Oreochromis niloticus: one gene and its partners. The protein of the gene in region 2 interacts with the protein of the main gene of each other region in a biochemical or structural test. Links are inferred from orthologs where the notes say so. Each region holds a gene or a part of one and is shown on either strand. Other genes may lie near its edges. The genes, in order: dcun1d4, ube2m and dcun1d5.

Region 1 (7,369 bases), on a different chromosome or scaffold from region 2:
CAGAAAAAAAAAAAAAAAAGACTGCTCCACTCACCCGAGCAAAATCAAAGGCATATCTATAAATGAGCTTAAAGCTGGTGCTGTCATTTAGGACAGATCTCAGGTAGTCGAGTGAGTTTCTCAGCCTCTCAGTCGAATCACACCTGAAGGCAGCAGAAAACTTGCTTAGGTATGTTACAGGATCCAGTTTAATGCATGTTACACTAAAAATACACATCAATCTAAATAAGCAATCTTGAAAACTGTATTATATTTTAAAAAAATTTTTATAACCCCCCCCCCCCCAAAAAAAACAACAAAGTAAGTAAATGACATACTGCAATGAGCCCATGCCTCTCAGCCACTCCTGAAGGGTGAAATATCCCATACTCTGGGCATCCAGCTTCCAAGCAAGAACCAGCATCACCACCTGAGCACAAGCAACGAATGACAGTTGCAGATATTCTTAAGTACAAGATACTCAATCCATTACATATCACATGACCTTGAAGGCCTAGGACTGCTGATTGAGAGTGCAGATTAAAAGATACACTTTTACAAAGTATCAGAAATGATCAGAAATGCAAATTGTCACCACTGCCAAAAGCATGTCATAAAAAACCAAAAATCACTAGTTTAACGTGTGGTCACAGAGAGATAAACAGATGTCGAAATATGAAAGATTTTAAATATGCGCTTACATTCTCCGGCTCCACTCCGATGTCCTCACAGAATTTTTCCATGCCCTCTGGACCCACCACATCATCACAGCCTGTTTATGATAAACAAATGTCAATCCACATATAGCAACAATTTCCCACGTATGCACTGAGAAGAGGTCAAATGCAATTAAACTAAGAATGTGTCCAGTAAGTGCTCACCTGCATATTCATAGAACCACTCCAAGCATCTTTTACTAGAAAACGTCTCCTCCTCTCGGATTTGGGATGTTTCATGTTTTCTGAAAACGCTGTAGACGAAAAACAAAATTTTAACCATACTACATGTGTAGTACACCATTTATTGTATGTTAACTAATGGCAAAATAAACATTGTACTGCACACATTCAAGTTCACTGAATGTTTAATTAAAGGGATCTCGCACCTGTCCTGGCGACTTTTCTTGGCTGACATGTCATCTCCAGCAGAGGGTCTCCTCTTTTTCCTAGGAGGCATGGCTTTAGAGCAACAAGCTAGGGAAGTAAACAGAAGAAAATGAAAGCATAAATCTTTAAGAACGACATGCATTACGCCAACTTTCTATAGCAAAACATTTGAGTACTAGCAAAGCACTGAGAGTCCACTTCAGAAAGTGATATGTTAATGTACATCTGGCCTGATAAAAACACTATTTCCCTATAAAAAAAACCAAAAAACAAAACATAAAAAAGGAGCAGCTGTATAGTTACCTGAGGGATGGCTGTCCTGTCCAACGTCTTCTGCCAAGTTCTATTCAAAACAAATGTGTGTGAGTAGGACACAGATGTACAGGGCACATGCATGCTAAAATAAAGCACACATAAACACATTGCTAATATGCATTTACCAGCCTGTGCAAGGTGTGGTGGATCTTATGGATGCTGGCCAGTGTAGTCAAGTGGGAATTCAGCTGAAAATCTATTTCCAAAAAATAAATATAACGTCACAAAAGAACTAAACTAAAGCATGACACTCAGCTTTATGCTCCTGATCATGCTTGGCATGAGCACAAGGGTACAAGAAGGTGACATCATCACAGCCCCAATGAGAACACTGGACTCAAATCTCAGGTGATCTGTGATCAGGAATCACACAACATTCACAGAGCATGCACTACTATCGTTTGATTTCCAGTTTTCAAAGATCTACGTTGGTGAAAATATTTCACACGAATGAGGGAGGGACTCTGCATTCCTCTAAAGACGTGAGAACGATCATGCATGCTACCTTCTCGCGTCAAGCCTTCTGTGCACTGTCGATTAAAAGCTGTCACCAAACACCGATGATTTTAACATTTTTTCAGAGGCCAAAACCACACACAAACCAGTACACTGCCGAGCAGATAGCACTAGCTGCATACCTAAAATAGCAGTGCAGACGCGCAACTTGCACAGAGTTTACAAAGTATCTGGAGAGTTTGGACGTATGGGCGTTGTAGTCCATTTCCTCTAAACAGGCCATTGGAAGCTAAGCTCTGTTTGGGATACTAAACTACAATTCCCATGCATTTGCAAAACAACTACTTCTCTCAGACCCTTCTACCCCCAACATTTACACCAACTGATTGAATGCATTTTACGTTGTTTGAAAAATATACAACATTATATGTGTTCTTGCACAAAAGCAACGCGCAGGCGTTTGCAGCAGCTGGTGTAGATGGCGCAAAACCCGGCGGCAGTGCTGCAGCAGGCAATGAAAGCTGTTTTACACAACTGCGTCACAATTTTCATTCCCTGTAAGAGTCCGCAGCTGACCAGAATATTGACCGATTTCCAATGGTCCTACGTGGATGCCAAATGTGAGCTGATACCTGCTGTACGTGACCCATAAAGATGAATATAAACAGCTCAACACGCCGTTTAACCATCGAAAACCTTCTGAATTTAACTAACGTCAGCCGCATTCAGCCGAGCACCGCTAACGCGACTCGAAAAATTAACTTCGCAAAACCTTCAGTGTCAAATATAACCTTCCGCATGTCCAAACAGCTAAAATTACACCAGCTATCCTCCCTTTGTTGTCGCACAAGACAGCACTAGCAAATACAAAGAGGGCTGCAAATAGCACAGAATTCACGCGTCCTCATCAAACGCCACACGACCATGAGACAAAACTGTTGTTCAAAACAGAGCAAGACTATTAACGTCTGTGCCACACGCGCTATGGGGTCCCAAATGGTCCCAGAAAAACCTCTCTAACGTTACTACTTACTTGCCGCATCAGAGTGCATTTTTATGAAACATACAACTGTCTGTGGGAAGTCCGCAGACCGGCCAATAGGCGGGCCTTGTCAACGTAAGCCACGCCCGCAGCTGTGGATTGAAGGTCAGCCTCATTCGCCTCCGCCTTTGTTCGCTGTCAATTGGCTAGTCGAGGTGTCATGTCATGACAGGGAGGGAAAAGACACAAGCTCCTTCCTCAACAAAATGTGATTGGTCATAGTTCTCAAAACAGGCCGCGCTATTCGCACGTCAATCACTAGAATTTCCTCGTGCAAACCTGAAACCAGCCCACGATGAAATCTGATTGGTAGATTTACTTCTAAATTGACTTCCCAGTGTAATCGCGGTTTGGGTTCGCTTAAAGTCAACGCCGTTTGTTGGAAGTAGGTAGCGGTGTATTTGGTAATGTGAGTTTTGACTTTACCAAGGTAAGGACGACAGCGCTTAAATTTCCGGAATGTTTGCAGTGATGCTGTCCTAAATAACACTTACCTTCATTTACCTTACCCTATCAAATTTAGTATTCCCTGTTTGTCATGTGACTCTAAATCTCAGTTTTTGTACAAGACGAACGAATGCAAACGTAGCAACACTGTTGGGCCCAAAGTTGTTTTTTATATATCAGTAACATTAAGGTGTTACTCATATGACTCTGTTTAAATGATTAGCGAAGCAACTATACCCCGTGTGAGTATAGAGAAGCTCGCCAGGTTATTTAAACCACAGCACCCTACTCAATTAAGCCATGATTACATTTATATTATTTTGTACTGGTGGAATTGGGTAAAATGGCCTACTGAGTTGTCCACTGCACAGTCGTGTATGCATTTCCTTTGCCTTCCAGTTACACTCTTTATGCATTGACAGTCCCAGCACCAGTTTACAGTATATGGGCATTTACTAGTGGATTCGAGGTAGGTTACTTTGAATTTGATGTGTGTTTTCATTTTTATACTATTAAACTACATTTTAGAGGAGAATGTAGGCTCCCTTTAAAAAAAAAACAACAACCTAATTAAATTTATTTGGCAAGTACATTTAGAAATTTGTAGGAAATGCATCACATATTAGATATGATGCCTTATGCATTGGCCTGGATCAGTTTTAAATGAATTATTTTTACTCATACGTTATTTTGAATAATTTTATGTATTAGTTCTGTACTAGTGGACAGCTACTATTTTTTTTTCTATAAGTCAGAGCATTTTTTGTAGAATTTGTGCAGTTGCAGTTGTTAGGATATAGAAAATTTAAGCTACTTAATTAATGCTCAGCAGTGACGTTAATAAATAAGTAGTAAAAGAAATGTTTTTGCTTCATGGATAAGTGAGCCTTTGCTCCTTAAGCTGTGACCTGTTGAAAGGTATTTAAGTACAGATGATATATACCATTATTAGAGAAACTGTATCACTGATATCTGCATTTTTATTAGTGGTAGTAAAGAAAACCTTGACCTTTGGCTTACAGGGGTGTGTGTCCAATGAAATAACCAAGAATAGGTGATCTTGTTATGAAGTTTTACTGCATATATTGAATCTTTAGCCTAAACACATGTAGATAATATGTTACCTTTACCCACACTTGTGGGTCTACTAAATAGTGATATGAAAGAGCAAACACGAGGCTGTAGGCAAAAAAGGTGTGTCAAACACTGAAGTGTAAACTGGTATACAGAGGTGAACCTGACCTGTTTTTAACACCTTAGGTGAGGACATATGTCTTTTTATTTCATGTGGCAAATGGGAACACATTTTTTTTTACACTGTTTTGGTGTTTTATGTTAAAGAAGTGAATTCTTTTTCTGCATAGTTTTATATGTTAAGAGTCGATGTTTTTTAGGGGTTTTCTTTGCCTCATGGCTTGTCATCCTCATGCTCAATCAAATCTGACTGGGCAGAGCTCTGTTAGGAAGGCGGAGTTAAAAGTCTAGTCCAGGAACTTCTATTACAGCTTGTTGCATTTGACACAGGCAAGAGGAAGTGTACGTAGCTTCAAAAGCAGCATAGTAGAGCTCCAAACTACTGAAGGATCTAAGATCATGAGTGCTGAAATAAGTGGACAAAAAGTGACGACCGAGGAAGCGGCAGCTGCTGGTTCAGGTTCAGCTCCCATTAAAGGAGGGTGGAAAGTGAGTGGCAAACAAATTTGTACTAGACATTTTGAGCCCAGATGCAATGCTATATGTCACATATGATAACTAACCTCTGTTCTGTGTCTTATAGTGCCCATTGAGTGATGCCCATGTTCACAGAGAAGATGTGAGAAAAGTTTGGAAAGAGTGCCAAGAGGAGAGCTTCTGGTACAGAGGTACTCTCTTTCAGACATTCAGTAAATGCTCTCAAGTGTGTCACAAATTTTCATTAACAAATTGTTGAAATGCCTCCCAGTGAGAGACAAAACTTGGAAATGTTCTTTGATGTGTAAGCAGGGTTTTTGTAGTAGAAGTAGGGGATAGGGGTCATCAATCAAGCTTACCGTTGAGCGTTTACATTCTTCACTGCGGAATTCAGTGTGTGGTCTTAAAAAAAGGGGGCAGATCAGTAAGATGGTAAGTGACTCATTAGTAAGATTTTATACTTTCATCATTCTCTCAGTCGTGATTACAATGTGTTTATTTGATCATGATTATTTATATCTCTACTCAATTTGTATTACTTTTAAAGAAATCATTTAAATACTATAACCACTCTGCCCTGCTTGATCAGAGCTTTTACTTAAGGTTAAGGTTGGGTGAAGCTTGGCTGGGAGTGTCCAGAGGTGAGCTTCTAGATAAAACTAAGGGGAAAAAACACCTGATCTGGAAAAACTAGTAGAAGAAAAAAAACCATAAGAGGTTTAAAGATATATCAGTCATTTATGCACACCCACACATCTTTTATGCGACTGTCAGAAAAGAATTATCACAGCAAAAGCTTAAGAGTTGTATAAGCTACTGTGAGCAGCATGCGCTAAAGAAAATATTGTGGTCAGGCTTTTTTAGACTAAGAATTCCCAAACTGAAGATTATTGGTGTTTCATGTGGCAACACATCGTTGTCTTTAGTCTCCATCTTGGCCCGTCTTCTCACCACTGACCACGCAGCTGCTGCTCATCTTCTCTCGTCAAGCAGTTATGTAAACATGAAAGCAATCACTTCTTCCTGTATCCGTCCTTTCCATCCCATTAGATGGACGTGAGGTTGAGTTCCGGTATATGTCTCATTACTCCAAAGTTGATTTAGGTTGAACTATAGGCAAAAACAGCAAAATGAATCCACTAGAATAAGTTAATTCATATGGGAAATATCGGCATTTAATCACAGACAGAAAAACTTATCTTTATGCATTATGTATTTGTTTTGAATGCTGGCCTTTTAAAATAACTTTACTCTGATTCTATTATAATATTTCCCCATACACTGTCCAGCAGTTTGTGACTTTGATCAGCTTCAGAGCAACTTCTGTTTGACTTGATTTCTGTTTTTAGCGCTTCCATTGTCTCTGGGCAGCATGGCTGTCACCGGTGGCCTCATCTACCAAGGTAAAGCATTAACATTCAAACCCCATACTTTAAATTGCATGATATAGATCAAAGTAAAGCAGATGTTTCTATAGTTATCACTTTTTTCCCTCCACATAGGTATTTGGAAATCATCAAAGCGATTTGGTCCCTTTCCAAAACTAGCAGGTTTGTGTCTTTCAGTATCTTGGATCTCAGTTTGTAAGTGGCAGCAGTGATTAATGAAATAATTTTTCTTCTTCAGTTGCAGGGATCCTTGGATTTGCAGTGGGGAAAGCATCCTATGTGGGCACTTGTCAGAGCAAATTCCAGGAGCTTGGCATTCAGGGTGGACCGGGGATTGGACCCTGGTCAAAGAGAGATCACCCTGGTCACAGACACAGGGAGGGCAGGTGCTGAATTTCTGTTTGTGTAATATTATAATGTTATGGTAATATTTACAGATTCTGGGAAGAGGAGGGTTGATAATCGGAAAAAGACTAACTTTGTGGTTTTTCGTTGTATATTTGATTGTCCATTATTTTTATTTCATTTTACTTTCATTTTATTTTTTTATATTCTCTCAGTAATTGCTCCTCTGTCTTGTTTATTGACCACCAGAGTTACACTGCAAGCATTCAAAAGTCATTCGGAATCAGATTACTTTATTAATTCCAGAGGAAATTGTGTCATTGTGCTGATCCTCCTTTAATAAATGACATAAAAATAATTATTTAAAAATGTTACAAATACTTATTTTTTTTATCAGCCATTGTTATTATTTTTTTCTCCTCTCTTTGGATGATCAATAACCTTACGCCTCAGCATGACACTTACCCAAATATTATCCTCACAGACCCTGCCACCATGTGTGTGAAGAATGTAAGAAAAATGCTCCAGCAGCACCAGCTGAACAGGCTTAATGACTGTGAGGACGGATGTACGGTAACATTCAGTGTGCATCACTGTAAAAATAATGTATTCAGATGAGT
Region 2 (7,582 bases):
AAATGGCAGCAGAAGCAGCCAGAAGGGAAGTGGCAGACCTCAACAGCCAATCACAGTCGCTCTGTAAGAAGGCGGCCGTCAGGTTACGGAGCCAATTTAACGCAGTTTAAACCTGATGAACACGCCTCCCTCTCCTCCTCCTGACTGATACTGACTATTGATCAGGTTCAGCTGATCGATAACCAGAAGGAGCCATTGGTTGTTGGTTTTTTTTTCCTTTTCTCACGTGGCACAAAAAACATTTTATAAGAATAAAACCAAAACGCCAACATGCAGCTGACATGCTGTTCGCAGCAGCCTCACGGCGCTGCTCGATTAATTAATCGTCACTTATGTGGTTGATGTTAACAACATTTCACTGTGTGGACAGACGCGATTGATCTCTGTACCTTTATTATTTTTAAAGCAACTGTTAAGCTTTACACTTTGTTACAGTGACATTAATTTGATATTTTATTGTATAAACCCAGTCGCACTAAAAGTGGCTGCAGAGCATTAAAACACATATTTGCTCTAACGGATAATTACTTTCAAAAAGCTTCCTCTGTGTAAACGATGATCAGTTCAGGGTCTGGTGCACGCATTTGTGGAGCAGTGTCAGCTGTGCCGAGGTCACTTCCTGTGGACTGGAGTGTGTGTTACAAATAAGCCGTAAACATCTGGCAGTCTCAGGTTATGTTCTCTTCATCCTTGACTTCAAACTGTTCAGTTCGTTGGTAAAAACAATAAAACTTTCTGGAGTCAGAGTTCAAAGTTCACCGCGGGGAGACCAAGAACACGCTCCTCACAACAACTCTAATCAGACACTAGAATCCCCCTCAAAGCTGATTATGAGCGGCCTCGGTATGAGCAGTGAAAGGACTCGACAAAACCTGTTTTATATAAATCTGCTGCACCTGCTTTCCCATCAGGTAAAGGTGAGTGCACAGCAGCTCACCTGCGGACAGTTTATTTTGTTCCAGTGAGACAAGAACTTCCTGGGGTTTGAGGGGCAGAGTGTAAGGCCATAAAGTGCATCTTTGCAGGTTTACAGTTGCATAAATCCAACAGGGACACAGTGTTATTCCAAAAAAGATGCAAAGTAAAAGAACCAAAAACAGCAAGCAGCCCTCTGCAGAGCAGCCACATGCTTAAAGAGTCAACATTAATATTTAAACCTGTTAGGTGGAACTCGACCTACTGACATCACTAAGAGACCGGGTCTGCTTAATTATCAGGTCCAAATCCAGGTGTTTTTAAATCCAGGTGTTTTGGTTGAACAGGCTGCTGAGCCTGCTCTGAACCTTCACTGTGTGTTTCTTTCACGTTACTTAGAATATTTATTGTATTTTCTGGGTATTCTTGCGGCTGCTGTAGTCTCAGAGTGCCTGTCAGTAATCAAGGGAATACTATTCCTGACATTAAAGCATGAAAACGGAGAGGGTGAAGCAATCCTGCTTCCTGTGTTTAGCTAACATCCCAGGATCGTTTTCACCAGCTTCCTCCTTCCAGGCCAGCACGAGCCCACAGAAACACCTGTATTAGAACATCACCTGAAACGCGATTTTCTAATTAAACATGTGACGGAAACAGAGGCTGGCTGCAGCTAACAGCAATAATAATGAAGATGCGCATCTGGCACCGTTTGGAGATAGCCGCTAACAGCTAGCAGCTATCCCGTCACAGTCACCTACAGCCAGCCTGGGCATACCTGCCCCGACCACACACCTGTACATACCGTCTGCCCCGTTAATTACCTAATATCACACGTAGGAGGGCAGCCCCCCTTCCCTTCCCCTCCCCTCCCCTCCCCAGCCTCTCCTAAAACATTAACGTTAGGCGTGCTAACACGCTAGCACGCTAGCAGCCCGTCCGCCCCCTCCAGCAGCTTCCTCTTTCACGCTGTCCCCGCTCCGCAGCTAGCTGCCGGACAGGTGTAGGTGAACAGACCCGACCCTCACGCACCCTTCCCCGCTCACCTCTCTGAATCAGCTCGCATGCTCCTGGGTCGCTCATTAGAATCGGTATCCGCCAACAATCAGCCCACGTTAGCCCGTGCTGAGCGCAGCTAGCCGTCCGCTTCCTTGTTTCTTCGCCCGCCGCTGCTTCATGCGCGTGCCATCCCGCTGGCTGCCGCTGGCTCCGGTTCTCCGGGCTGGCCTGCCTGAAGGACCGCGGTGGTCTAACTGTGTCGATAGAGAACGGATGGATATCGGTGAGGCGGAGGGCGCAGTCGTGCCCATTCACTCCCCTCTGCGTCCGCCTCTCTCTCTGCACTCGGTCCGCCTCGCTCTCCCCCCCGCAGCGCGTTCCGCGTGCTCCGCGGCTCTTCCTCCCGAGGGGCTCCAAAACACACACAACGGCCCGTTCCCGCCGCAGCGCGGCGCTTTCAACGCGTTCCCGGTGATACTCCTCCGCACGAACTAGGCCCGTTCGCCGCCGTAGGCTGGGAAAGCAGCGCCGCGCGCGGCTATTGTTCTGCGACTCTATTGTGTGGCGCGAGGCTGCGGTGCTGCGCGTGATTCGGTTCAGTGTCGTGAATCGGCCGGTGGCTCGCGGGACGTTTAACCCCGCATTGATGACATCATGCAGGTGACCGCAGAGCCCGCGCGCTGCTTCAGCCTCGGACAGAGACGGAAAATAAAATAAATAAATAAATAAATAAACCGCTAAATAAAATATAGGCACAGACGATATACACGCCCCGCCTCTCCGTGCCACGTCACAGTGCGGAGGGCATTGTGGGACTTGTGGTTGTCCCGCTTTCCCCCAAAAAAGCGTCAAGCTAAAATGTTTTTTAGCACACACAAGACATTTGAAATGTAATAGAATATAGAGATCAGTAGAATCCAGAAGAAAATGAAATTAAAGGTAAAAAAGATTAAAAAATGCAGCAAACACATGCACATACATGTTGGTGCAATAAAAATGAAATCAATCAACAACTAAAACATGCTGGTGAATAATTTTACAGCTCATAAAAACCGAGATTTTTATTTTTATAAAGAAACACAACAGCGCTGATTCTTGTGTTCACCACAGGGTTTATTCACAATACCGGTATGTCTTATAAATATTTTATTCCATAAAACACGTTTCATTTTTCGTTCCAGCTTTACATTAGATTTGATTTACTGTGTCATTTTTTCCCAGTGCATGTCTTCTGTTTTTATTATTTACTGCCATAATTTTACATTTGACTGTGGTCACTGTCTGCTGTATGAACAAAGTCATGTGATGTGTGGAGTACTGTTCTATAAAGAGAATGAAGCCCGTGAGTGACCTTCTTCTGTGGATTCAGACACTCGGTTATAAACATTTCCTCAGAGGGCACAGTGGCTCTGTTGAAAGTGGATCTGTGATCTGAGCTCCAGCTCAAACCTGAAGGTTCACGTCTGTGACGACGAGCTCTGCTGATGGTGTTCTGACTGAGTGACAGCCAGCTGGACGTTTCCTGGCATAAAAACGGGATTTATGCTGATGTTTGCTGAAGCTGACCCAACTGTGTTTATTTGGTCCCGAGTTTGTAGAAGTCTGGGTTGGAAGCATAACTCACAGATGCTGGGACTCCTCGCTGTAATAACTGCAGACTACACTGAATCATCACACTGCTGTTTTTTATTTACAGTGTTTTTAGTCTACCTGCACTTTCTTGGTCACATCCACCTGGATCCAAACTGTCAGCAAAAGGTCAATGTTTTAAATTCCACCTTCCCCTGTGCTGCCATATCAACCCCACCTGTACTTACAGGCAGACAGTTATGGGACTCTGATTTAATACGAGCAGACTGCACGAAAAACTAGTTTTATTTTTGCAAGGCTGAATTTCTGCAGACTGCAGCAAAGGTGAGCACAGCCAGCATGAGCCTCACTGACTCACCTCAGGCTGATTCTCAGTTCAGAGACATGAAGTTGACTTTTAGATGAACGTCCTGCAGAGTCTGTCTCGGCATGCTTGGTTCGGCTCTCCAGCCTCAACATGACACTGATGTACACATGCATGGATCAGCAACCACAAGCCAATAACATAACTTGTGATTCTGCATAACGAGTGCTTTTACTTTGTCTGCTTTCAGGACACGTGCCGTCTCCATTCCTGTCCGCCTTGAACAGCTTCAGCTTCGGGTCACGACCCCTACAGCTTCAGAAGGAAGAGGGTAACTGCATGGAGCACCTGTCCTGAGACAGGAAGCCTACACGTCCACATCTCCACCGGGCTGAACTGGAACAGCAGCACAGAGGCCGGAGGTGCTGAGCACGCTCTCCTCCCTCACTGAGGAGACAGCTGTTCATCACAAACACCTTCAAACTCATGTTCAGGTGCTTTTCATCACTTTTGTTGAACCCAGAGTTTTTAAAGCTGGGTTTACCTGCCTGTGGCCCCCTCACTCTCTCCAGCAGCGCCCAGACCATCTCCCGATTGTTTTCTTCTGGCACCAGTGGACTTTCATGCGCTTCAGAGCAACACACACACACACACACACACACACACACACCCTCTGCTCCCCTCCCCTCCCTCCTCCCCCCCGCTAGCCAGCTCGCTGCTAGCTCCGCTGCTAGCTCCTCCTGCCTCCGTGATCAGACGCACCGGCTCCATTCACATCACGGTGCTGTTGGGAAACCACCCCGCTCTCAGACCCTCTCAGACCCGCTGACGGCTCACAGAAGGGACGCCTCGTGTGTCAAATAACTGAAGATGATTAAGCTCTTTTCCCTGAAGCAGCAGAAGAAAGACGAGGAATCTGCTGGAGGAAACAGAACCGGAGCCGGGGGCAAGAAAGCCAGCGCGGCCCAGCTTCGAATACAGAAAGGTAGGCTCTGTTAGCCGAGAGTTACCCACCGGCCACGGGCCGACACCGAACCCACGGGACCCAGGGCTCTCAAACCCAGACCCGGTGTTGCTGTAGCTCACTCGGGCTAACGGCTGGCCGACTAACTGCGGCTGAAGCTGGTGTTAGCTACGGCTGCTAGCCCGGCTGTGCTACATGAAAACAAAACGCAGGCTAAAGGTGTTAGCACGCAGCTAGCAGCAGCTAGCAGCTAACAACACGAACCCGGAACACATCTGCTAACAGCTAACAGCTAACAGCTAACGCCGGACAGCCGTAAACACTGACGGCTAACGGCAGCTAGCCTCTAACTGCTGTGTCAGTTCCGTGGGGTCCACTTCTACTCAACAGCAGGTGAGGTAGGAACACAGGGACTCACTGGAACACCTGAGCACAGCGCCCACCTTTCTGACCCGCTATCCTCCTCAGGTGCAGGTCAACCCGAAGGGCTGCCGGGCGACAGGTGAACGCAGATCAGAGCCCGGCTTAGACTGCAGGGTTAGAACCAGGCTGAACCTGTGTGGTGGATCACAGTGGACTCTGAGGGTCCTGCCTGCCTGTCAGACGCCTTGTGAGTCACCTTGTGTGGGTGACCAATAGGAAAACAGGCTCAGGTCCCTATTCTCAGAGTCCAGCTCACCTTATCAGGATCTGTCTAAATTATCAGCTCTGTCTGTCTACTTTGCAGCATCTGACCTGGACAGGTCTGAATCCCTTCTCAACTTCTAAGTGATCTGCTGGAATGGGCCCGCTGTTTTCCATGGATCTGATTGGCCGGTTTTCGGTGGTTTCACACCTTTTGGTCTCTTATCTGGAGGATAATCGGAGCAGGAGTGACACAGGCCAAAAGGCTGGGCGTTGATGCCCCAGCCCCCGGACACCAACCACCTACTTCTTCTTCTTCTTGCCTCCACCCACCTGATGAATGATTTATGGGGTCGCAGAGATTTGGGGTCCTCAGGGTATCTGTAGGCCCGTGGTTCTGGGTTCCAACCTGTGTTTAGCATCTCTCTGAGACCTGAGCGACCACCTGGGCCCGCTCTGTCCCACCACACGGGATCAGTGCAGTTCTGAATATGGTCCAGATGTTTTGGTGCCTTAAACAACAAAAAGGGATCCAGTGGTTTCAGAGTCACCCCCTAAACCTGCGAGAACATGTTTTTGTTTTTTACATTTGGAAGTTGTTCTTCCACATTGGCAAAAAAGTTTTGACACATAAAAGTTGATTAGATTTGTTTCATAATGGTCCTTTTATTTCTTTACCTCGTGGGTCTAGGCCGTTATTTCTCATTGATGCTCATCTAAGTTGATTAAGGAGGTTTGTGTTCTTTTCTGGAGGTTATTGAGATTTTGGAGATGATGACATTTTTGAAGTCCTAAAGAACACAATATGTGGAGATTTTTAAGAATATTTAAAGAGGTCCAGAGGTTTTAGAAGTCATTAAATGCCAAGGTGAAATGGAGAAATGCTGAAGGAGGTCTTGGAGAAGGTCCCAGTTCTATCTGAAAGTGTTACAGATGTTGTTCTGGACTTTTAAGTCTTTTGGGACAGTTCAGAGTCTCTTGTGTCAGCACTGCTTTTTCACAGGTCCTAGCATACAGACAAGGTATTTAGAGCTCCAGATGTTTTCGTGAGCCTCTGAAAAGTGAAAGAAGAAGAGATGAAGGAGGTCTTTGATTCCCGAGGACGAATCAGAATCAGTAACACCTGCCTGTGTTTGTTTTTCAGACATCAATGAGTTGAACTTACCAAAGACGTGTGAGATCAATTTCCCCGATGATGACGACCTCCTCAACTTCAGACTCATCATTTCACCAGACGAGGTGTGTGTGTGTGTTTTCATTCAGAGACGTGATTGCATAAAAACTTTATTCCTCTCTGACTTTGAGGACAAACACCTGTGAGAGATGCAGGTATGCATCAGTAACACGAGCAGTGCTGTCTGTAAAAGCAGTGAAACACCTCCACCTGTGAGCGCAGGTCCGGTTTCAGACGCTGCTACACCAGAGCCGATTGTTCCCACTCATGTGGCACACAGGTGTATGAAACCTCAGGATGTACAGAGTGAGGATGAGGGGCTGAATCGGGAGATGAAGATGATGCTGAGCTAACGAGTCTGCCTCTGTTTGTCTTTTTGTGTCTCAGGGTTTTTACAAAGGAGGAAAGTTTGTCTTCAGCTTTAAGGTGAGAAACAGCCGTCTCTCTTTCTGCTCCACCCTCGTCTCCACTTCCCTCTGAGCTCTTTAACCTGAAATAATCCTGAAACAGTCTGACCCTCAGCAGCCTCCACTGGTCTTCCAACAGGTCTCACCTGTGTAAAGTCCGGCCCACAGCGCCCTGAGAACATCAATAAGAGGCTCACTAATGTAGCTCCATTAGTTAATCATCACTTTATTTATAAATTTGGCTTCCAATGATGATAAAATCACTTTTTTCTTCCATTTTCTCCACGAGGCTCTTGTTTTCTCTGGTGTTATAAATCAGGTGCCGCCTTTCACTCAGTGTTTAGATGTCCTCATGGTTGAGCTGTAAGAAGTGAAAGTCCTGAGGTTTCTGCAGGTTAGCCCATAAAGGACTAGCAGGTGGATTCCTCTCTTAATCGCTGACAGACTCGTGTGACGTTCCACGGTCCTGCAGGTCTCCCGAGTCCACCTGGTCTTCCTGCTGGCCTGCCTGCAGACTTCCTGCGGTGGCGGCTGCAGGCCGGTAGGAACGCCGGTGGGGGTCAGGAGAGGAGGCTCGTCACTGATGATTTACAGGAAGACAAAGAGAT
Region 3 (7,262 bases), on a different chromosome or scaffold from region 2:
CATTCATCATCCCATGGATGTGTTGGAGAGTAGCTTGGGGCTGGTATCCTGCCCAAGGATACTTGGTATCTAGACTGGAGCAGCCAGGGAACCAGCAACTTTACAGTTATAAGATGACCTGCTCTACTTCCTGACATAGAAATCTAAATCTTCTAAATTTAGCTCAGGCATTCATGAATCCAGATGATGTTTGTAATCTTCTCACTTGTTCTGAAATTTATAAGTTTTAACTTATAAGCAGAGGTATCTGGAACAACTTCATACCAAGCAGTCAGATGTATTTGTGGCTTCCAGAGGGTTGGGTTACTGTAACTCTGATGTCCTTTCTATTCAGCCCCTCACAGAAAATTGTACAAATCCTTTTTGGTCTTTGTGGGGTTTTTTGTCCTGTTAATTTTTGACATCAGCTTTATTTGTTAATGTTTGGAAAGTTTGCTGTTATAGTACCAACAACAGAAGAGCTCAGTCTGACTCACTCCTTGCTTACTTGACAACTTTGGGTTTGAATTCAAAGAAAGTTAAGGCATCCTTCCCTGTGTGGCCACACTTTGAGAAATTTAGAATTCGTTTTCTAATCACTTTAATGTTTTTTGTTTAATATGTCACTTATGTAGAAGTGAACACCTCCAGGTTAACTGAATTTCCATCCGCTTCAGCTGTGCTTTGTGTTAAGTGCTAGTTTTCAACTATTACCATGTAAACAGACTGAACTCAGAGGGTAAGCATACCTGTTGCCTGTCAGAATACGGGCTGAAGCCGAGCCTCACACATTTGAATTGTTTATACAGGCTGACAAACTTGAATTTCTTCAGAGGTTTTTCAGTTTCACTGCATCATTTCACAAGCTGTCAGTCTTCAATAAAGGGACCCTTTTATGCTTCTCACTGTATGTCATATATGTGTACTGTTAGAAGCTATTTTACTGGCTAAAATGACAGAGTAGTGTCATTTATGACCCCATTATTTAGCTTAAGGTTACTCTCCTGATCTTTTAGGAGACTATAAACTTTGCATCAGTACCAGATATTACAATAGAAACTCATGAAATGGACAGACTTGTTTTAAATGGCTCTGTCTGTGTTTATCGTACCTATACTGTTTCCTTATCTATGACGTATTCTAAGATATGTCTTAGAACTGAAGAAGCTTCTCTGAGGAGAGGTGGAACATCTTCAAGAAACTTAAAGAAATCCAGTTGCTTTTCTTTTGAAGCTCCTTAGAGTGCCATGACCTGGATGACTGGGAACCTACACAGACATTCTAAAATATTCTTAGTCATTTGTTTATTCATTAGTTTTCGATCATTTTTGTGCAAAAAGGAGTCGGCTGGACTCATTACTACATCAGCTGAGCTGTCAGTTTGGGCATTAAATGTCTGTCTCAGGGCTTCTGCAGCAGTAAATCTTTGCATTATAGCTGTGTTAGCCGTGGTTCACTACAAAACATCACAATGATTCATTCCCACTTTCAAGCACAAACGGGGATTAGAAATGGGAATTTACCCGTAATGTCTAAAAACATTAATATATTTCCTCACAACTTTCCATGATCTTTACCACACACATGGGCAAATTATATTACAGAAAACTATGAAAGGTTTTCAAAGAAGGAAACTGACAAATTGTTGGGGAAACATTTTTAAGATTTAAAAAAAACACAGCAGTAAATATAAGTATTTAGCTGAAGTCATAAATGACTCCACTCAGTCGCTTGAGTATGGCCAGAGTTCCAAATAATGGAAGAGTGTGTCTTCCACACTCTGTCTAAATGAGTGTGTCTAAATGTGCTCAGTTTCACACGTTTTTTCCCTACTTTTGGACCTATGATGTCAGTGAGAACTAATTGGCACAGAAGCCCTGCCTACTTGTTCAAGCGGCCAATCAGAAAAAACTGGATGAAAGCAGATTGTTTCAGAGTATGAATTGAAAGACTGAACGAAAATCCAGCGTTAGCTAAATAAGAATGATTTCGATCTTCGAGTCATGCAAAGCTACTCTATCAGAACCCAATCATCAAAATATGGAAATAAGCATAAGTGGACGCCTTTAAACTTCCGTAACTTCCTAAGCTAAAAATCTGTTCAGACTGTGAAATTTAAATAAAGAGAATCCCATCATTTGCAACAGTTTGTACCTTTATTTAAACAAAAACAATACAAAGACAAAATATCAAAGTGTTTTTAATAAAAACCTTAAATTTTATTTCAGCAACATGTTCCAGAAAAGTCAAACCCAACTGCAGAAACATCCCACAGCTCGTTAAATGTATTAATGACATGATTCCTAAAGAAAATGAGGGTTTAATAAGTAAATATGAGGAAGCCTTCACCACTGTGAAAGGCTGTGTGAGCAGAGTTTCAAAGTTTTTCTCAATGTAAAATTTATTTTTCTAACTAAACACTTACAAGGGTGTCACTTCCTGTGTGATCTCATTTTATGCCCCTCCCCCTTTTTAAAGATATATTTTCTGATTTTTGCATTTTACTCTGGTTTGAAACATTTGGATTAACCACAGCTGACATCAAAAGGCTGTGAGTGATTCTTTTCTTTTTCTTTTGGTTGTCTCATGTGAAAGCCCGGCCTGCACTGCACAGAAGTCAGATTTTACTGTAGCCTTGTGTGATGACAACACTTGAACTAAACACAATCAGCCACAGCCTGAAAACCAGCTGAATGTTTGCTATGACATCAAGGAAGGACTTTAAAAGTGTGTATTGGCAATAAAAGAAAAAAAAATGGATGAGAGTGCTTCTTTGTTTGTTTTTGCTTGTTTTAAATATTTTTTAAAGTTGAATAATTTATTTACTGGCAAAATAAAGACAAATGTTCGACAACAGCATTCAGTTTTCCTCCTACTTCCAGTTGCTGTAAAATGTAACAAGTTGGATGCATTTAAATTTATCAAGAAGATAAATCCCAAGAACTTGATGTAGTTTGCAGACTTATTCTGCAGTTAAATTTACTGAATTTCCCGGAGGAACCCACCCGAGGGATAAATAAAGTTTCATCTAATCTAATCTTACTTCATATTACCTTAATTAAGAAAATGGTAAATACACAAATACAATGTCACTGTGAATGACCTAGATTTTTTTTTTTATTTAAGTTTTTCTTTTAAAGAAATCTATGAGAATTTGTGCTGAATATTTACATTTTAAGAGATGGTGTATGGGCCACAATCATGTGCTGCATACACCGCACAGTTACAGGAACACTGGGTTTATTAATGTTCCAACAGCCCTCAGTATAAACATTAACTCTGAGTTAATAAACACTACACAAGTCTCAGGTCAAATGTTCTTTTGCTTACTAAACCTTTAAAAACAAAGACTAGAGAGCAGCAAAGTGTCATATAATGACACCTGTTATATGCATATGTTTCTACTAAACTATATTTTGCATGTAGATTATACTTTTTATCCATAACATTTATTTTTAAACTTGTTATTTTGCAGATAAATTGTGTTATTAAAGGTCAAGCTCTCACTGCAGGATCATCCCTGGATCATCTGCCTCTATCCCGTCCATCCTGCTCACTCCGAACAAACATCATAACATCCTAAACTTCTCTGTCTTTGGCCTCATGTCCTGTCTCCTGCCACTGTCTCCAAACCATACATCACAGCAGGTTATGGAGGGCTTCTCTTTTACTCTTGCTATCACTACCTTTCTGTCATAAATCACATCACCCCTGACACCCGTCTACACCCAGTGCACCTAGCCAGCACCTCCTCTCCACCTCAATGTTTCGTTTTAGTTAACTAGGATAACCTTGCTTGTCGTTAACTCAGAGTGATGGACGAGTTTTTGAACTATGAACAGCTAAAAATAAATAAAAAGTTCAGAGGAAACTCTATGTTAGAAAAATAGCTGACAGAGATTTTACAGTTTAGCATAAATGTTAAAAATATTTTAAACTTTATTACACCCTGCCTCTCGCCCTATGACAGCTGGGATGAATGGATGGATGGATGCATGGACATGAGTATATGTGAGCATGTGAGCCAAAAATAGGGGGACTATTTCTTTAAGAACTAAAACGATATATTCGGCTCTTCGGGGTGTACATTACAACCATCAGATGTTCTCGTTTGGATAACTGTTGTCTAAGTCCATATATCCCTCTTGTAAATGAGGTTAAATGTCATGTTGTATAAACCTCCATTCTTAAAAAAGAGCGTTCGCTCACATTTCTCTGAAGAGGGGAACGCTTGTTTTGTGTTGCACCCCCATAAAGCGGTGGTATCGTCCACTCTCACGGAAACGCCGGCTCCAGCCAAAACTCCGGCAAAAGAGAAGCAGGTGGAACTGAGACAGTAGTGAGAGTGTGACTGAAAGTGGTAAGTGTTTAAAACAGTGCCCTATCGATTACCAGGTGTTGCCCCAGGCACCTGTCTTATATTTGCTTCTAATTATGATGCGAGTGATTTAAAGACTTTTGACGCGTGTTTGGACACATTAGCAGACGTTAGCAGAGCAGCTCTGAAACCCGCGGTGCGCCACTAATGTTAGCTAGCAAACAAAAGAGGTTCACTGTGAGTCAAGACTGACTCTTGGAAGAAAATGAAGGAGATAAATGTGGATTTTGTAATACGAGTCATGTTTTTGTGACATTTAAGTAGCGATAAAATACGACATCCTGGCACGAAGTCTGCTATTAATCATCCTAGCCTGGGTAGCTAACGTTAGCATCAACGGCAGAGACCCGCAGCCGTTTGGATTTTAGCCCAAAGTTTAAAGTTTAACAGTGTCCAGACCCTTAACAGACTTTTTATTCAATATGTACCTGTGTCTTGTGCTTTAGGTGTGTGTGGTGGAGGAATGGTGACATAATCCTGACGTGTGTGTTTCCCACAGAGCTTTTTAAACTGGTTCTGCAGCAGTGCTGTCGTTACCATGTTTATTTTTAACAGTTCAAACGCTGGAAAAAGTTCGCGTTTAATGTCGCAGACACTGCAGCTGCGCGACAGTTACGTTTGGTGGTTTTTGTTGAAATGCAAACGCGACAGCGCCTGTTTTCTTCCGAGCAGTGTCCTCGTTCTTCTGGTGAGCTTTTATATCAAGTCTGAACACGAAAACGGAAATTTAGTGTGATGAGGCAGTCCCTGTTTGCTCCTTCCTTTTAACCAGCTATGCAGGCCGAACCGAACAAAAACAGTGTTTACGAACTGGGCCATTTCAATCTCCAACAATGGCGTCACCATTCATTTTAACAGTACTCAAGTGAATTTTGTGCATTTATGAATCGTACTTGTGACAGTTGCTGCGATGCCACACTCTGCCTCTCCACACATCATCTCCAGGAATCACTTGAATGATCCTAATGGCGAGTAAAGTCACAGAATTCATTGTTGTGTATGTGTCTGGGATATGTCTGCATATGATCATAACTTCCACTGGGTCCTATACTTAAAGGCTGTGGTTCCCCAGTGCTGCCCTGAGGCAAGTCAAGGTGTCCCCTGAGATTTTTGAATCAACGAAACATTGTAACGGCACAAAGTACTAAATGTCATTTCAGTTGACCTCATTGGCCTGATTGATAGTGAGGAGATATAATTGAGCAGCTGGACTTGTGATGTCAGCAGCCTTCAGCCTGAGTTAATCTGTTAATGCTAATATAGTGAGCTAAAGAGGGCCTTGGAAACTAAACATCCTTTTATAGAGAGACTTCACCTGCTTTAAAAGGGTAAAAGAGAGCTGTGTCTGAACCAGAGGCAGCAGGAATCTACACTACATAAACAAAAGTTCTAGGCTGCCCACATATTACACCCACAGGAGCTGCTCTGCCGTAGAAACCCATGCCATGAAGCTCCCAGTGCACAGTTTACATGCTGATCTTAATGTCAGAGGAGGTTTTCAGGTCTGCAGTTACTGAGTCAGCAGAACATATGTGCTTTACATCTCAGCACGCAGCGATCACACTCTGTAACTTTACATGATCTGCCACTTCGTGGATGAGTTATTGATTCCTGAACACGTCCACTTTACAATAATACAGCTGACTGCGGAATATCTAAAAGGGAAGAAATTTCACCCGCTGACCTGTTGCAATAGTGGCATCCTGTTTCAGTAATACACTCAATTTCTTTTAATTCTTTAGAACGACCCATTCTTTCACAAGTCATTCTAAAGGCTGACTGCATGGCTGGGTGCTTGATTTTATACACCTGTGGCTATGGAACTAAAAACACCTGAATTCAAAGACTAAGAGGTGTGGCCCCATATTTTTGACCATATGTATGTGTTTTTGTGTGATAAGAGGATGGATGCAAGTCATAATTTGGTGGTGTTCATTGTATTTCTTAAAATCAGCTAACATTGCAATCAAAAGAAGGGATGATATTTGAAAAGAGAGAGTATGACATGACATTCTGCACATATGAAGACAGCCGAGTCTTAATTTTTGGTTTGCTGTTTGTTTTGCTTTGGGACAAAGGCTTAAAAATCACAGCTCTAAAGGCAGAAATCGGTTCTTTCCTTGAGTTTCTCAACATTCAGTTGACTGTAAGCCCAGCAGTGTAACTGCAATGAAACTTCAATTAACAACGACGCACAGATATGATCAGAATGCCTTGGCTTTGGAAATCTGCTGATACAAAGTACTCCCTTGATGCCAGTGTTAAATAAATTTTCTTCAATCTTCATTTAAATCTTGAAGTAGTGCTTTTTTTGGTTTGTTTGTTTTTCAAAAACAACTTTGTCTAGTGTTGTTATTTTTGATAATTTCATAAATATCTTGAAAATGACTCAAATTCGTATTAGCAGAATGAGAGAACACCACACAAATCCAAATATTTTAGAGACTTCAAGCATTTATCATTCTGAATTAACCTGAGCTGCACTCCTGATACTTCACATTCATAAGATAAGATGAGATGACCTTTATTAGTCCCACAGGTGGGAAATGTGTTTTGTTACAGCAAAAGTGCAAAGTTATGTAGCAGAAATTAGAAAACACTGGAATGCAATAAAATAGAATAATATATACAACATATATACATAGTCACAGTATCAGATATTTACCCTAAAACACAGGGGGTTTTAGAACAGGTTTTTTTGATAATGGAATTTTAAAATGTTAGAAAATCGTGTAAAAGCAGCCTTAGCTTCACTTAACAAACTGAAATGGTATGATGTGTTTGTCTTGGACCGTGACTTCATCGAAAAGAGTAACGACAGCACTAAACTGTTATTTTTGCCTTTTCTAACTAGAAATTATTATTCTGACCGTCTTTTCCTGGTTTACAGAAACTATAAAAACAT

What was found.
Region 1: the proteins of ube2m (region 2) and dcun1d4 form a complex in vitro, tested with the Homo sapiens proteins (3 studies listed by BioGRID). The link is inferred for Oreochromis niloticus from reciprocal best matches to the Homo sapiens genes UBE2M and DCUN1D4.
Region 3: the proteins of ube2m (region 2) and dcun1d5 form a complex in vitro, tested with the Homo sapiens proteins (3 studies listed by BioGRID). The link is inferred for Oreochromis niloticus from reciprocal best matches to the Homo sapiens genes UBE2M and DCUN1D5.

The regions. Positions count from the first base shown.
Region 1 is NC_031986.2:37,250,468-37,257,836, reverse strand, and holds the start of dcun1d4 (DCN1-like protein 4), read right to left. Parts: upstream 3,033-7,369; 5' UTR 2,909-3,032; coding exon 2,890-2,908; intron 2,884-2,889; exon of another isoform or gene 1,906-2,883; intron 1,597-1,905; coding exon 1,526-1,596; intron 1,429-1,525; coding exon 1,389-1,428; intron 1,173-1,388; coding exon 1,085-1,172; intron 950-1,084; coding exon 861-949; intron 752-860; coding exon 681-751; intron 410-680; coding exon 318-409; intron 144-317; coding exon 35-143; intron 1-34. Other genes in the region: ociad2 (OCIA domain-containing protein 2), read left to right, coding at 3,194-3,207, 3,745-3,814, 4,870-5,028, 5,123-5,207, 6,366-6,419, 6,519-6,566, 6,643-6,790, 7,234-7,300. UniProt on the Homo sapiens protein: Contributes to the neddylation of all cullins by transferring NEDD8 from N-terminally acetylated NEDD8-conjugating E2s enzyme to different cullin C-terminal domain-RBX complexes which are necessary for the activation of cullin-RING E3 ubiquitin ligases (CRLs).
Region 2 is NC_031969.2:34,663,909-34,671,490, reverse strand, and holds the start of ube2m (NEDD8-conjugating enzyme Ubc12), read left to right. Parts: upstream 1-4,505; 5' UTR 4,506-4,675; coding exon 4,676-4,790; intron 4,791-4,796; exon of another isoform or gene 4,797-5,162; intron 5,163-5,237; exon of another isoform or gene 5,238-6,466; intron 6,467-6,537; coding exon 6,538-6,632; intron 6,633-6,954; coding exon 6,955-6,993; intron 6,994-7,582.
Region 3 is NC_031979.2:35,191,931-35,199,192, reverse strand, and holds the start of dcun1d5 (DCN1-like protein 5), read left to right. Parts: upstream 1-4,187; 5' UTR 4,188-4,339; intron 4,340-7,262. UniProt on the Homo sapiens protein: Contributes to the neddylation of all cullins by transferring NEDD8 from N-terminally acetylated NEDD8-conjugating E2s enzyme to different cullin C-terminal domain-RBX complexes which is necessary for the activation of cullin-RING E3 ubiquitin ligases (CRLs).